4 linked regions of the Arabidopsis thaliana genome follow. The protein of the gene in region 1 interacts with the protein of each later gene in a pairwise test. Each region holds a gene or a part of one and is shown in the gene's direction. Other genes may lie near its edges.

What was found.
Region 2: the proteins of AT3G26110 (region 1) and AT3G12180 interact in a protein complementation assay, tested with the Arabidopsis thaliana proteins (one large-scale study listed by BioGRID).
Region 3: the proteins of AT3G26110 (region 1) and YLMG2 interact in a protein complementation assay, tested with the Arabidopsis thaliana proteins (one large-scale study listed by BioGRID).
Region 4: the proteins of AT3G26110 (region 1) and AGP27 interact in a protein complementation assay, tested with the Arabidopsis thaliana proteins (one large-scale study listed by BioGRID).

What each region holds. Positions count from the first base shown.
Region 1 is NC_003074.8:9,539,581-9,542,742, forward strand, and holds AT3G26110 (Anther-specific protein agp1-like protein), read left to right. Parts: upstream 1-1,902; 5' UTR 1,903-1,992; coding exon 1,993-2,379; 3' UTR 2,380-2,584; downstream 2,585-3,162. Other genes in the region: AT3G26100 (Regulator of chromosome condensation (RCC1) family protein), read left to right, coding at 1-229, 327-569; AT3G26115 (Pyridoxal-5'-phosphate-dependent enzyme family protein), read left to right, coding at 2,721-2,795, 2,945-3,162.
Region 2 is NC_003074.8:3,881,689-3,885,426, forward strand, and holds AT3G12180 (Cornichon family protein), read left to right. Parts: upstream 1-1,641; 5' UTR 1,642-1,775; coding exon 1,776-1,850; intron 1,851-2,331; coding exon 2,332-2,513; intron 2,514-2,598; coding exon 2,599-2,721; intron 2,722-2,821; coding exon 2,822-2,882; 3' UTR 2,883-3,176; downstream 3,177-3,738. Other genes in the region: AT3G12170 (Chaperone DnaJ-domain superfamily protein), read left to right, coding at 68-127, 213-319, 406-488, 580-670, 763-967.
Region 3 is NC_003076.8:7,240,674-7,244,454, reverse strand, and holds YLMG2 (YGGT family protein), read left to right. Parts: upstream 1-1,574; 5' UTR 1,575-1,689; coding exon 1,690-1,995; intron 1,996-2,372; coding exon 2,373-2,575; coding exon of another isoform or gene 2,576-2,579; intron 2,580-2,614; exon of another isoform or gene 2,615-2,858; coding exon 2,859-3,105; 3' UTR 3,106-3,254; downstream 3,255-3,781. Other genes in the region: PAA2 (uncharacterized protein), read right to left, coding at 59-156, 529-606, 705-1,326; AT5G21910 (uncharacterized protein), read right to left, coding at 3,328-3,666. UniProt on the Arabidopsis thaliana protein: Not required for the biogenesis and accumulation of native cytochrome b6 in the thylakoid membrane. Not functionally involved in the pathway for covalent binding of the c-type heme to cytochrome b6.
Region 4 is NC_003074.8:1,927,143-1,930,279, forward strand, and holds AGP27 (arabinogalactan protein 27), read left to right. Parts: upstream 1-1,725; 5' UTR 1,726-1,833; coding exon 1,834-2,211; 3' UTR 2,212-2,542; downstream 2,543-3,137. Other genes in the region: MEE32 (dehydroquinate dehydratase, putative / shikimate dehydrogenase), read right to left, coding at 1-81, 338-559. UniProt on the Arabidopsis thaliana protein: Proteoglycan that seems to be implicated in diverse developmental roles such as differentiation, cell-cell recognition, embryogenesis and programmed cell death.

The sequences.
Region 1 (3,162 bases):
GGATGGAAGAGTGTGCACTTGGGGTTGGGGAAGATATGGATGTTTAGGTCACGGTAACGAGGAGTGTGAATCAGTCCCTAAGGTTGTTGAAGGTCTAAGCCATGTCAAAGCAGTTCATGTCGCAACAGGAGACTACACTACTTTTGTGGTCTCAGACGATGGTGATGTTTACTCGTTTGGCTGCGGCGAATCCGCTAGTCTCGGTCACCATCCATCCTTTGATGAACAGGTTAGTGATTGGCCATGGCCTCCATTGTTTCTTTTGCTTACATTATATGTTCTAAACTTATGTTTAGTCGTATGTCTGGTTTGATTTTTTGTTGCAGGGTAATCGACATGCAAACGTGCTAAGTCCAACGGTAGTAACATCGCTAAAACAAGTGAACGAGCGGATGGTCCAGATAAGTCTAACGAACTCCATATACTGGAACGCTCATACATTTGCGCTCACGGAATCGGGGAAGCTATTCGCGTTTGGTGCAGGCGATCAGGGTCAGCTTGGAACAGAGCTTGGTAAGAACCAAAAAGAAAGGTGTGTACCGGAAAAAGTGGATATCGATCTCAGCTAGCTAGCTGACTTATGTGGTTTGGTTGGTAAGAAACTACGTTTGACATCAAGGAAACAAAAACGCAAGAAAATTTGCGTTTGCTTTTTATGTTCATAAGACTTGGAAGCTTGTACAAAAAGGGGAATAACATAAACTTGTCTTTAACATTTCATTGTATAGGGTTTTTAGATTATTCTAATTGTTCATTGGTTAAGTTTTAGGTTATGTTGTTAATAATTATCAAATAATTTCATTAAATCAAATTATTGTCAGATTCAATTTCTACCAAATTTTTATTTTATTTTCTGTTTTCATATTTGTTGGGTTTACATCTATATATACATTTTTGCAGCCATTTTGTGATTTACATTTATATATACATCAATAAATCATGGAGTTGGAACTTATTTACAATGGTTACCACTGGCTTATTCAATGCGAAAATTAACTATCAAATAAAAGCAAATCTTATTCAAAAGAATATGCTCTTATTCCATGGCCTAGTTATTTTTGCCAAAATGGTTAAAATATTTAAAAATTAAATAATTATTTGAAAGAAAACTTTAAATTGATTTAAATTATAAATCTTTTAATAAAAATATTAATAAAAAAATAAAATAAAATAATTTCACCGAACATGATTAGATAGTAGGACTAGATGGTATGACATGTTTATAATATTATAATATATAAACTTTATAACAATTAAATAAATATTTGAAAGAAAACTTCTAAATTGATTTGAATTAAATATTTTTTAAATTAAAGTATTATTAAAACAAAAATAACAAAATAATGTCTAATTTTACTGAACAGGGTTAGTGGTAGGACGGGTTTGGTCGATAGTATTACGAGACGGTATACCACAAGTGAAATCCATTAGATATGTTTAATTTCATTGTGCATGATTAGATGGTATGACGGGTTTTGATCGATAATAATACGAAACGATATACTACGGATGAAATCCTAGATATGACAATTAAAATCTATATATATATTATCTTAAACACTAAATAAAGCAAACAATATTAATAAAACAAATATCTACATATACATTTTATATAACAAATTTTATTAAAAACCTAGCCCCGCGGTATACCGCGGGTCAAAATCTAGTTAGAGTACTAATATTCTATCGAAGAAAAATCTAAAATCCTATTTCTCAAATTGTTTTTGCTATATTTGATAAGATTAGAATTTAGAAAAAGCTTAATTAGGAGTAGAAGATAATATGTAATTTGCAATTTTTTCCTCAACCTTTAATATTTTTGGCAAAACCTCAAATTGCGTTGAGTCATCTTAGCACTTTGATCAAACAACTATATAAGCAAAGACCCTCATTACACAATTCAAGATAAATAAATAAAACAAAATACCCATAAAACATTTTTCAAAAAAAAAAAGTTTTTTGGGGATTACTAAATAACTAAATTAAAAAATAATGGCGCGTCTTCACCTAGCTCTCCTCCTCCTCTTCGTCGCTATCTCCGCCGTGATCGTATCAGCTGCTGAGAACGAAAAACCACCGTCAACCACCACCGCCTCAGCTCCCACCGCTACAACTCCAACCGATGGCATTGGAGGTGATATAGCAGAGGGTCCAGCTGATGACAATGCTATTGGAACAACTGACAACGACGATGCAGCTGTTACTCCCGATGATGCCAATGGAGATGATGAAGTGGCAGTCGCCGGACCTATTGGAAGCGATGCTTCGTACGCTAACTATCCTCCACCACAAAAAGAAGCTTCCGGAAGCGATGCCACCGTAGCTTTTGGCTTTGTCTCTGTTGTTGGTGCAGTTGCTGGATCGCTCTTCTTTTTCTAGAGTTGTGATCGGCGCGCGAACTTATTACTATTGTAATAAAAATGTTTGTAATATTTTCTTGTTTTAGATGTATTTTGACGATCCCTTCTTCGATGTAACATTGATTATATTGGGATGATACATATTTAATATACTAATATAAAGAAAGTTTTTTATTTGTGGGGTTAATATATTTCTGCATCTCATAAATTTACAAAAATAGCCCACAATATATGGGCCGTATTTTCTCACAGGGCCTAGCCCATCAACGTGTGAGTAAGCGCGTGTTTTTCACGTCTAAAAACCTCCATATCTTCTCCGCTAGCTCCGGAATAGAAGAAATTTTGCAGAGAGAAGCGTCAATGAAGGTCCAACGGTCAACTTTTTTGGCGGTGACCGGAAAATCAAATCTTCATCACTTTCACTCGTCTTCTCAGGTTCTCTTTTCTCTTCTCTGCGTCATCTAAATCAATTAAAAATCGTTCCTTTTGTCACTTCTAAGAATACCCATTTGCAATTGCAGAAAAAAATCTGAACTTTTTCTGATTTCATTGCGTTTTGGGGATAATGTCTTAATCAATTTCAGAGAATTCCCATTACTTCCGAGATCGATTCACGAGAGTTTGTGTCTAAATTACTCGATAGAAAATGGGGATTACAGTGTCCTGCATCTCCAATTCAGCAGATTAGTGTTTCTTCTGTCAAAGGAATCGATAAATTCTCCTTCTTGAACAACACTCGTCCACATCTCGGAGATGAAATGTCGAAGTCGAAGCAAGGATCTTCTTTTTACATTCTTAGAGA
Region 2 (3,738 bases), 5.7 Mb from region 1:
AGTTTTCAACTTAAGTAAAGGTACTGGAGGATTTTCTTACAAACTGGTTATTTCCCTATCTCATTAGGATCTTTCGGGAGATGTGGTTGACAACTTGAGGGACTTCTTCAAGGCAATGTACAAGAAGGTAAGAATCATGATTCACAATTGATTTCTTTTTGGACTTTGCAACACAACTGTTTCGTTCTGTATACTGATCATTTGTGCTATAGGTCACCGAGGAAGATATTGAAGAGTTTGAGGCCAACTATAGGGGTTCTGAATCCGAGAAGAATGATTTGATTGAGCTATATAACAAGTTTAAGGGTAAAATGAGCAGGTAATTAATCATCCCCTTGTTTTCATTATTGTCAAGTTTGTGAGTTGAAGTTTGTATAAACATTATTGGTACTATATCTCTTTCAGGCTTTTCTGCTCAATGCTTTGCTCGAACCCCAAGCTTGATTCGCACCGTTTCAAAGATATTATCGATGAGGCCATTGCAGCGGGTAGGCTTCTCTTTCTTGCAATAATTCTTTTGTCTATAAAACCTATCCAGGTTCTGATTTGTTTGTGCATACCATTGTTTAACATCTGCAGGAGAAGTGAAATCAACAAAAGCTTACAAGAAATGGGCAAAGGAGATTGCAGAAATGGAACCTCCCACGAATCCCCAGAAGATGAGACGGAAGTAAGCTTCTATTTGTCTACCTTTTCCACCCCAATAAATGCCCTCTGAAGTTATCTTTGTTGTGACCTGTTTCAAAATTTCTATACTTTCAGAGCAGCAAAGGCTGCAGATAAAGATTTATACGCTGTAATGTCCCAGCGGGGAGATGAGAGGAAAGAGAAGTTCGATTCAATGTTCTCTTCACTTGTCTCTAGGTATGGTAGCAATGCTGACTCTGAGCCAAACGAAGAAGAGTTCGAAGCTGCTCAGAGAAAAGTTGAAAGCCGGAGATCATCGAAGAAGTCTAGAAAAAAATAAAGATTATGTAGTAGTTTGTGAAATTTAGGTTTCGTGTTTGTAATGGAGACCAATGTTTTTAGCGTAAATTAGATCACATTTGTTGCTTCTTAGAAGTTGAAGACTAATGTGTATTTGCTAGGAAACAATGTGTATTTTTACTTTTTGTCTTTTTTCCAACAACAAAAAAAGCAGTGAGTTTACCAGTTCAAAAGCTCAGGGTCCCACGTGTATGTCGTCTGGATCTTCAGAAGAAGAGAAATTCTATCACCGGGTCCTAGGACTTCTCCACCTGCAAAAACAATCAGGTCGAGTAATGCATCATAATCAGTTGATAACTAAACAAGCCTTTGTTACAATGTAACATATAAACGTACGGTATCAACCAAGTTTCTCGGGAAGAGGAGAGTGGACGGATCCTTTGGCTTGTATAGGCCTAAATAAAGAACTAACAAATTTCAAGTGAACTTATTTAAAAGAACCAAATAATTATTCTAAAAGAGAAGAAAAAAATGAAATTATTTACTTATATGGCTTGTATAGGCCTAAATGGCATACAGTTAATAAATTTTGTTAGTTCTTTATTAATTAACACCAAGCATCTTTTTTTTTTGTTGAAAAAGAAAAAGGAATTTAACAAAAAGGATATTCACAAAAAGAAACTAGAGAAGTAATAATAAAAAGGAAAGAAGAATCTAATGTCCAATAGAACCCCAAAGTAAAGTACACCAATTGTTGAGAGAAGAAGAGTTCTTTTTTTTTCAAAGGTATTTAAGGAGAAGAGTCGCAGTCGCAAAAAGACGAATCGTAATTGTTGAAGAGAGCAAATATGGCTTGGGATTTGTTTTTATGGATAGTCTCCTTCTTCGTTAGCTTGGCTCTCGTCGCTTCCGTCTTCTACCAGGTAATCTATCTACTTTGTTTGTCCCCTTTTACTTTCCATTAAGATTCTTAAATCGAGATCTGTCCTTACTGTTCAAATCCTGATTGTCGGAATTGTACTTGTGAAAAAACACCGAGCAACTTAGCTTTTTGTTCGAATTAGCTAAAAAATTAGGAATGGAACAATTTTCCTTTGTGTTCGTCGGTTTTGTACTAAATACAATTGACAATTTTTTGGGTCCAGAGAGGTTTCATTGTTTATCCTTAATCTTATGCTTCTAACTCAAAGTTGTTCTTAGTTCTGATTTGGATTGTCTGCAAGGCTTGTATATGATACTTGGTCAATTGAGACATATAGTTGATTAATTGCGAGTTATATACTGTGAATGAATGAAGTTAGATACTACTACCAATAGTGTTTACTCTCATACTAACTGCCTCTGCTAATGATTGAAGCATTGAGATTCCTTTTTAGTCTATTGATATCGTGTGTGATTTTGTAGGTTATCTGCTTAACGGATTTAGAAGCTGATTACTTGAACCCTTTTGAAACAAGTACCCGTATCAACCGATTAGTAATACCTGAGTTTATCCTCCAAGGGTCACTCTGCCTTCTCTTCCTCCTCACATGGCATTGGGTCTTCTTTCTGGTCGCCGTCCCTGTAACAGTCTATCACGCAATGTTGTAAGTATCTATATCCATCCATATTGCTTATGATTCTTGATTGACATGCGTGGAAACTAAATACGCGCCTCCCATTGTTCTTCAGATACAAAGAGCGACGTTATCTCATCGATGTCACTGAAGTGTTCCGTGGTATCAGCTTTGAAAAGAAGCTCCGGTATACCAAGCTCGGGTTCTACGTCTTTCTCTTCATCATGGTTGTCTTTAGGTAAAAAAAACTACAGCTTTAGCTTTCCTATTAACATCTTCACTTACTTTGGTTCTTCTACTATGAAGTTACTTACCGAGTCCATAAAACATTTTTGCAGGCTCACTCTCTCTGCGGTCTATAGCTTCACGGAAGATGATGATCTACTTCATTTGTTTTGATTTATGCGCTTGCGCTCTGCGTTATCAACCACTCTCTCTTTATTTTCTGAGTGTGTTTTAGAAAATTGTGACAGGTTTTTATTACGTCCCTGCTTAGAATTAGCCATTCAGGGATTCATCATGTAGCTTTATATAACGTATGATTACCGAAAACTCATCACAAATCGTTTGACATGGAGGGTTTCATCAGTTTTGTTTTGCGCAATATAATGTTCAGTCTCATCATTGAAGTCATAAAAATCATGTATCAAGAATGAAGCTACATTGTATTACATAGACTGGCTGTGGAAAAACGCACCGATATCTAGTTTATCGGAGATGCAATTGAACCCGCTGTGGACCTTAAATCCATGTCCATCCAAGAGGAGGAGGAGAAGGTGACCCAAACAGAAACTCTGCAAGAACAAAAACCAAGGCATGTTTCAACAAACCTTTTTATATGAGCCAATTTTTGCGATAGTGACCAAATAGCGACCCAAGAAGGATTACGGCCCAACCCAAGAGAGTTATCCAGCTTGATTACGTCCCAGACCCCCTATGACCCGATCCGGACCGGCTCAGACCATCTCACAAACCGATAATATTTACTACGGGCATTAAACCGGTTAAATAAGGAACTTTCCTTATTTAGATTTTTTAGGGCAAGAGTCTGGGACCACGAGAGACTCTAGTCAATCCAAGCGAAAAGATCATTCAAGATAGATAGACTACAATTTTCATACTTGGCCGTGGCCCGTGGGTGTCCTTAATTAACTCCCAACGACTATGCCACTTAATCCAGCAAATAGGCGCTTATTCACTTACCTTATCAAAACCATAATCCATCCTATGACTTCATTTCTTTTTTCCTCTTGAT
Region 3 (3,781 bases), on another chromosome or scaffold:
GGTTTTCAGAATAGGATACTCACCAGTCAAATATAAATTACAGGGTACAAAAACTCACCAAACTGATGGAAAATGCAGCCATGGATCCCAATCCAACTAACGAGTTCATATTAGGTGATCTTTTCCCGAAAGCTTTTATGCCATCAAACAGCAATTCTACAATATACATCTATCTGTTTCAGTCATTTGTGTTTCCGAACAGCCTCAAATATCACTACCACCACTTTGTTATGAAAGTCGCAAAGAATAGTAGGAACCATCACTATCACTTAAGAAGTTTGAAAATTCAGAGTTTCTCTCTTATGACAACGACGACTCAATTAAGCTAACCATTATCCATAAGAAGAACTGATTCAACAAAGCTCACCTATATAATCAGAGTAGAACACTAGCACTTATCTAAGTCTAAACAATAGCCTAAGAACGACTACTTTGTCATCTCTCTCTTATGATACTAATTACTAAACTTATTATGCATTAGCTGGTAAGAATCATAGATTCGAACTAAAAGTTTAAACAAAAGCAAACCTCTTCCTGGTCCCAACAAAGCTCCAACGGCCAAACCACCTTTCACGTAAGAGTTGTGTAGCAAATCCCAAATCCCTCCTAGTAACATCAGGTGCAAGAGAAAGTCATAAACTACATCTCTTATCCAACAAATGACATCTAGCATCACAATTTTTTTTGCATTATAATCAATGTACCATGAGCAATGTGAATTCCCAAGGAATGAAGAATATGCGAAGTGTGAGACCCGCAACACAGAGCCACCAATGTCCACGCAAACGCCACACGGTTCCTGCTCTTAACAAGCAAGTCCTCTTTCTTACTTACCATCTCCTTCCACTTCTTCACATTCTCCGCCACTCCCATACCCGAGACTCTCCTCTTAGCCTCAAAACCACTCTCTGTCAATCTCTTAGCTAAACTCTCTGCCGTATCCGCCGTCACCTCAACCTCCGGTTTAAACTTCACAGCCGCGGTTTCAGTCAGCATGTTAACCACAGCAGACGCGACTCGATCATCAGACATCAAAACCGATTTAACTCGGGCGACGCAGCCACCACACATCATCCCACTCACATCGAGGAGAATAGGCGTGTCGCTCGTAATGGATTTCACAGATTCGATTGAAGATTCAGTAGATTCAAATGATTGAGTACTTATCTCGACCGAGTTTGATACTAAAAAAAAAGGTCGCGAACAGTGCCGCCGGATACGAGAACGGCGCAGTCTTGGAAAGCATCGGTTCACGAGGAACTTACTTGGACGAATATGAAGACTCGATGGCGGAGGAAGAGGAAATCGGAGAAGATTGCTCGCCATTTTCTCCGGCGAGACAGACGACGATAGTCACGCGATGTATACAAGTAAGAAACTAGTGGTGGACTGGTGTATGGTTCGTTAAAAAGAGTATCGCTAAACGTTGACACGTCGGATTTGGAATATATCCGAACATTAGCCATTTTTGTGGAATTTTTAAAAAGCCAGGCTGTCACCAGAAAAATCAGAGAGAGACATAAAACGCAAAGTTTTAATAGGTAAGACCTTCTAACTCAGCTAGAGGATTACAGCCCCCGGGACACAGCGATGCCACGTGTCATCTTCCTGAAATATTGTTTTTTGTTTGGAGGTAACTTTATCTTCTCAAGCTTTCTTCTTCTACAACACATCTAGAGCTTTGCAACAATGGAGGCGAGTGCGAATGAACCAGCTATGAAAAGCTTGAAATCCAATCCTTCAGGACCGATACCGAACTTTTTCGTATCGCTCTCTTCGGCATTTACGCAAACACCTCTTGTGCGTTCGAACAAACCCAATTTGCTTCTTCTACCACCAGTTGCAGACTCCGTCAAATTGATTCAAGACTTTCATCAGTCTCTGATTTCTGCTACTGAGAAATTTAAAGGATTCCTCCATTCGCTCGCCTCTAAGAACCCTCTCTTTCAGGAAGCGGTTCGCCTATCTTCCGAATTTCACATTTTGTGCGACGAGGTAACTTCTCTTAGCCTGCTTATGCTAAAGAATGTTATGGATTAAGTTAAGAAGATGATTGTGTGTTTCTCATGAACTTGCCTTGGCTCTGATTGTTACTGTAATGGGTGAATCTTTGTGGTTTCTATTTATACAAAATGGGTCATTCTTTAACAGCCAGTAGATTGTTGTCTAGATCATTTAGCATTTATTGGAAAACCTTCTCACATTGATAACCCTGAGTTATATATGTCCTCAAGTTGGGATCTTTTTTGGTTCTTTTCTTGTAAAGATGAAACTTGGCTTCTGGATAAGTCCGGTTATGATTTTGTGTGCCTTTGCTTCTGGTTTTGGGTTCTTTATGTCTTAAAGATGAAGATCATTTTGTTGCATTGCAGATTCGTTTGAGAAACACTACAAGGGTGAGGTTTGCGATGTCTAATCACGGATTTGCAGCGGTTCTGCCTGGAGATTCAGTTGCAGGATTGGTGGTTGCTAATGGTTTGATCAATTTCCTCAACATATATAACACCATCCTTGTCGTCCGTCTAGTACTCACCTGGTTCCCGAGTGCTCCTCCTGCCATTGTTAACCCCCTCAGGTAAAACGTTGCCTTCAAATGCCACAATGATTTTATATCTTATCCAGGTTTAAAAGTTTTCGATCAATCCATGAAAACAAAATCTAGATCATAGAAGTCCTATTCGTGATTGTTGAAGGTAGTCTTTTTACTTGATTTAGAGGAAATTTATTTTGGATAAACTCTGTCTACTACTTTTTTGTCCAACTCTTAAATGGATTAAAGATTGGTTAAACCCTGATTGATCTGCCCAGGAACCCTAGTTGATTCCTATTTATGTGTATATGCGTTACCATTGTTTCAGCACTTTATGTGATCCATACTTGAACATTTTCCGGGGATTCATACCGCCTCTTGGAGGATTAGATTTGTCTCCCATTTTGGCGTTCCTTGTTCTCAACGCCTTCACCAGCTCGGCTATGGCACTTCCTTGCGAACTCCCGTCAGCTGATGGAGCCGTTTCTCCAGCTTCTAGTGAGACAAAGTGGGTGAGAAGGAGAAGGTTGAGCAGCCACAAAGACCACAGACCGAGCTCAGCTTCTATGACCTGAACCTGTCTAAAATATCTACTCTTTTCTGCGCTTCAAATGTAAAATCTACCTTTCGAGTAATTTTATTACTCTGTATCTTTGGATTTCTGAGTTTTGTATAAATTTTCTTTAGAAAATGAATAAAAGAGTTGTGTTCCTGACATACAGAAATATTGTAAAAATTTTGCAAGAGATGAGCTTTTCTTCTTCATTTGTGGCATCAAAACAACTTTCGCTCAGATTCTAACCAGAGGCTTTGCATATCAAGACGAAAACAAGAAGGATGAGGATGACAAGCAATCCACCAAACGAACCACATAGCCTGTGAATCCAGTAAGGATCAAACCTGGTCAAGCTCGGGTCACTGTACAAGGACAAGGCTATGGCTAAAATCAACAAGAGGAGAAGCAGAGAGAAGGAAAACATAAAGCTGAAGAGTTCTTCTTCCTCTTCTAGATCTTCCTCTGATAATCTGTCGATGTAGAGTGGTGAGAGCACGGCTAGTACCGACAAGCTTATGGCCAAAAGCTTCCTGGAAGTAGTAAACCTCCCCATCATCGGGCTGGATGATCCCGTTTCCATCAGAAAAATGCCAGTACAAAATATATAAAAACAACTGGTAACTTTCTTTACAATCCCCGGTTGGTGTTCATCTGAACTAAAATGGCTTGTTTCTTGGTAAGAATCTGAACACAAG
Region 4 (3,137 bases), 7.6 Mb from region 1:
CATCACTGGAGCACAGATCAAGCTCGGATTCTTCACGATATCATGACTTCCGATCTCCATTTCCGTGGAATTTGAAGCCACCTGAGATCACAAAACAGGATAAATTCCACAATCAATTAAAAATCCAACTACTTCTCAGAACTAAACAAAAATTCTGAAGATCGATTCTAAATAGCTAAACCAATGTTGTACACGAAACATCAAAGTCTTCATCCAAAACTAATACCAAATTTATTTGAAGCGATAAATCTGCAAATTCATCATTACCTATCCTTCTCCAATAAAAACGGAACAGAAAACAACAAAAGAAAACTGAACTAAAGGAAGAATCACTAACATAGACATTGCTAGGTTCCATGCTTCGCCGGCGCCTTTGATCGGAAAATACCACCGGAAACGGTACACTCCTTAGCCGCGGGGACGAAGAATCGGCAAAGAAGCGAGTGGAGAAATCGGCGGCTGGAAAACGGAGATTGGCGACGGAGGTAGGTGAAAGTCGGGGTTTGGAGAGTAGACGAGGAGGGTTGGTGAGACGAGCATTAGTTGAAGAAGCTGCCATTGAGAGGCGACAAACAACAACGACCCTTTGCGGCTTTTTTTCACAACTTTTATTGGATTTCTAAATTTTGGTATTTTTAACGTTTTTATACGCTAAAAAATGGTAGGTGAAGTTTCGATTAGGCGCAAAAAAAAATTATTTATATCTCCTTTTCATTTTCTGATATTGACAATTATATATGTTTGTTTAAATCATCAAGAGAAAATTCGTTATCTGTAATCTGAAGTTAAGAATTATAGCAGAACAAATGACATCAACAATATGTGATTTTGTTCACACAAAAAAGAAAGTCAAACAAATAGAGGTCAGCAAGTTCTTGAGTCTTTAACTACACTGGTGGCCATTGTTGGGCATGCAATGTAGAAAACTCAGCACGTTTTGCACTACAATAGTGGGCTGCGTTTTTTGGGCCCATAGGAAGCCTCTTTAGTGGGCTCGAATTGCATAGCAAACTAAAGAACAATAAATAATAAATAATAATAATAATTCCCACACACCACAAAGCTTTTCTTAACTCGCCAATAAACTTTAGTACAAAAGACAACAAAATATTTGTTTAGGAACAACCCAATATAAAATGTGCTTTTTATTTGAACATCCAACGAGGCAACAACAAACGTAATTAGACCATCTCCATTGAAGGTATTTCATAAGAGTTTTTCACAATTAAAAAAATAAAAATAATGAAAATGAAGGAGAGAAAATGTAGAAAGTTTCTCACTTGAAAAATTTTGAGATATTCTCTACAACCCATCATGACAATTCTCATCTCACTATTGATTCAATTTTTTAACAAAATTACTTTTTTAATCAAATAATTAAATTATAATATAATATTAATATTTTTTTTGTTTTAGAAACTTTGTAGGTTTCTCATGGATGGAGATGCCTTTACTCGTACTTAGCAATATGTATAATTTGCATTAACATAATATTTTTCAGCAAAAAGTAAAGCACATGTTTATTCGAAAATATGTGCAATATATAAGAGCTTCTACTAAAAAGTGAAAACTCGATCTACGCCCATCTTCAAGAATTCAGCAAATATATTTTCTTTTCCACCGAACACATCCTTTAAATTGATAAATAATAATCTTTTTGGAAAAAGGTGAGACAAATTCCATTTAAAATCAATTTATAATATTTTACTATTAGAGCTAAAAGTTTTCTTTTATAGAGACAGTATCATTATTACAACACAAAATGCGCTCTCATCAGTTAAGGAAAAAAACAACTCAGCTTTGATTTGTTCATCATTACAGTAACCAAAAAAGATGGCTTCATCTATATTGCTAACACTCATCACCTTCATCTTTCTCTCCTCACTTTCTCTCTCTTCGCCGACGACAAATACAATCCCATCTTCGCAAACAATCTCTCCCTCTGAAGAAAAGATCTCACCGGAGATCGCTCCTCTCCTCCCTTCACCCGCCGTCTCCTCCACTCAAACCATCCCTTCTTCTTCAACACTTCCTGAACCAGAAAACGACGACGTTTCCGCAGATCCTGATCCCGCCTTCGCTCCATCGGCTTCTCCTCCGGCTTCATCTCTTGCTTCTCTGTCTTCTCAAGCTCCCGGAGTTTTCATCTACTTTGTCTTCGCCGCCGTCTATTGTTTCTCGCTCCGGCTTCTTGCCGTTTCAGCTATATAGGTCATTCATATATTTTAGACCACGTACGTCATTATTTTCATGAGTTTATTTGTCCCCTAAAAATAACGAATAAAATTAGATTTAGTTTGATTTTCAATTTTTTTTTACTATTTGTATTTTTTATTGTTCTCCACTTAACATTTTGTTACAGTTTTAGATTGGTTTAGATGAAAAACGCAAGTAATATATTACGTCAGAACCACATAATTGATGCATAATTAACTTAAGAACTCTGGATAAAAATAAAAATAAAAACTAATTTACCGTTAAGTGATTCAATACACTTTGAGGACTTATACTTTTCTCTTCTTTTCATTTCATTTGTTCGTTTACTATACACTAACTTTTTTTTTTTTTTTTATCGCTAAGCTAAAGAACCTTTTGAAAAAGTTGAAATTACGTTTCAAATTAAAGTGACGTCATATGCATGCTTTACAGTATACTGCAGTTTATAGTAGTATCAAAATCAAACGTTCCAAAAATTTGTACTGTTTACATGCAAATAACACTTGAGTAATTATATGTAGACTACTAATTAATTTCGACATAAGTTTATGTAAAACACCAGTTTTTTATGATTATTTTTGTCTTAATCTTGAGACGTGTTTATGAACTGAATGAATGTATTACTTTGTGAATTAACGTATTTAAGTATAGTGCATTATTGCATAATTCCTAAAATGCCACAAGGTTAGAGGCGCATGCATGTGAGTTACTGCATATGCTGGCCTCACGGCTAAAAGCAACAACAAAAAAAGGTGCCTTCTTTTCTTGTCCCACACTTTATCTTATTTCTGGGGTTTCAAAGTCTCAATATTAAAATTAATAATATCTAGGTGAGAAGAAATATGTAAAGGACGTTTCTTGTTTTCACATTATAGGGTTTTATGCGTGAAAGATTGTATATGTTACTATAAGGTTGATTG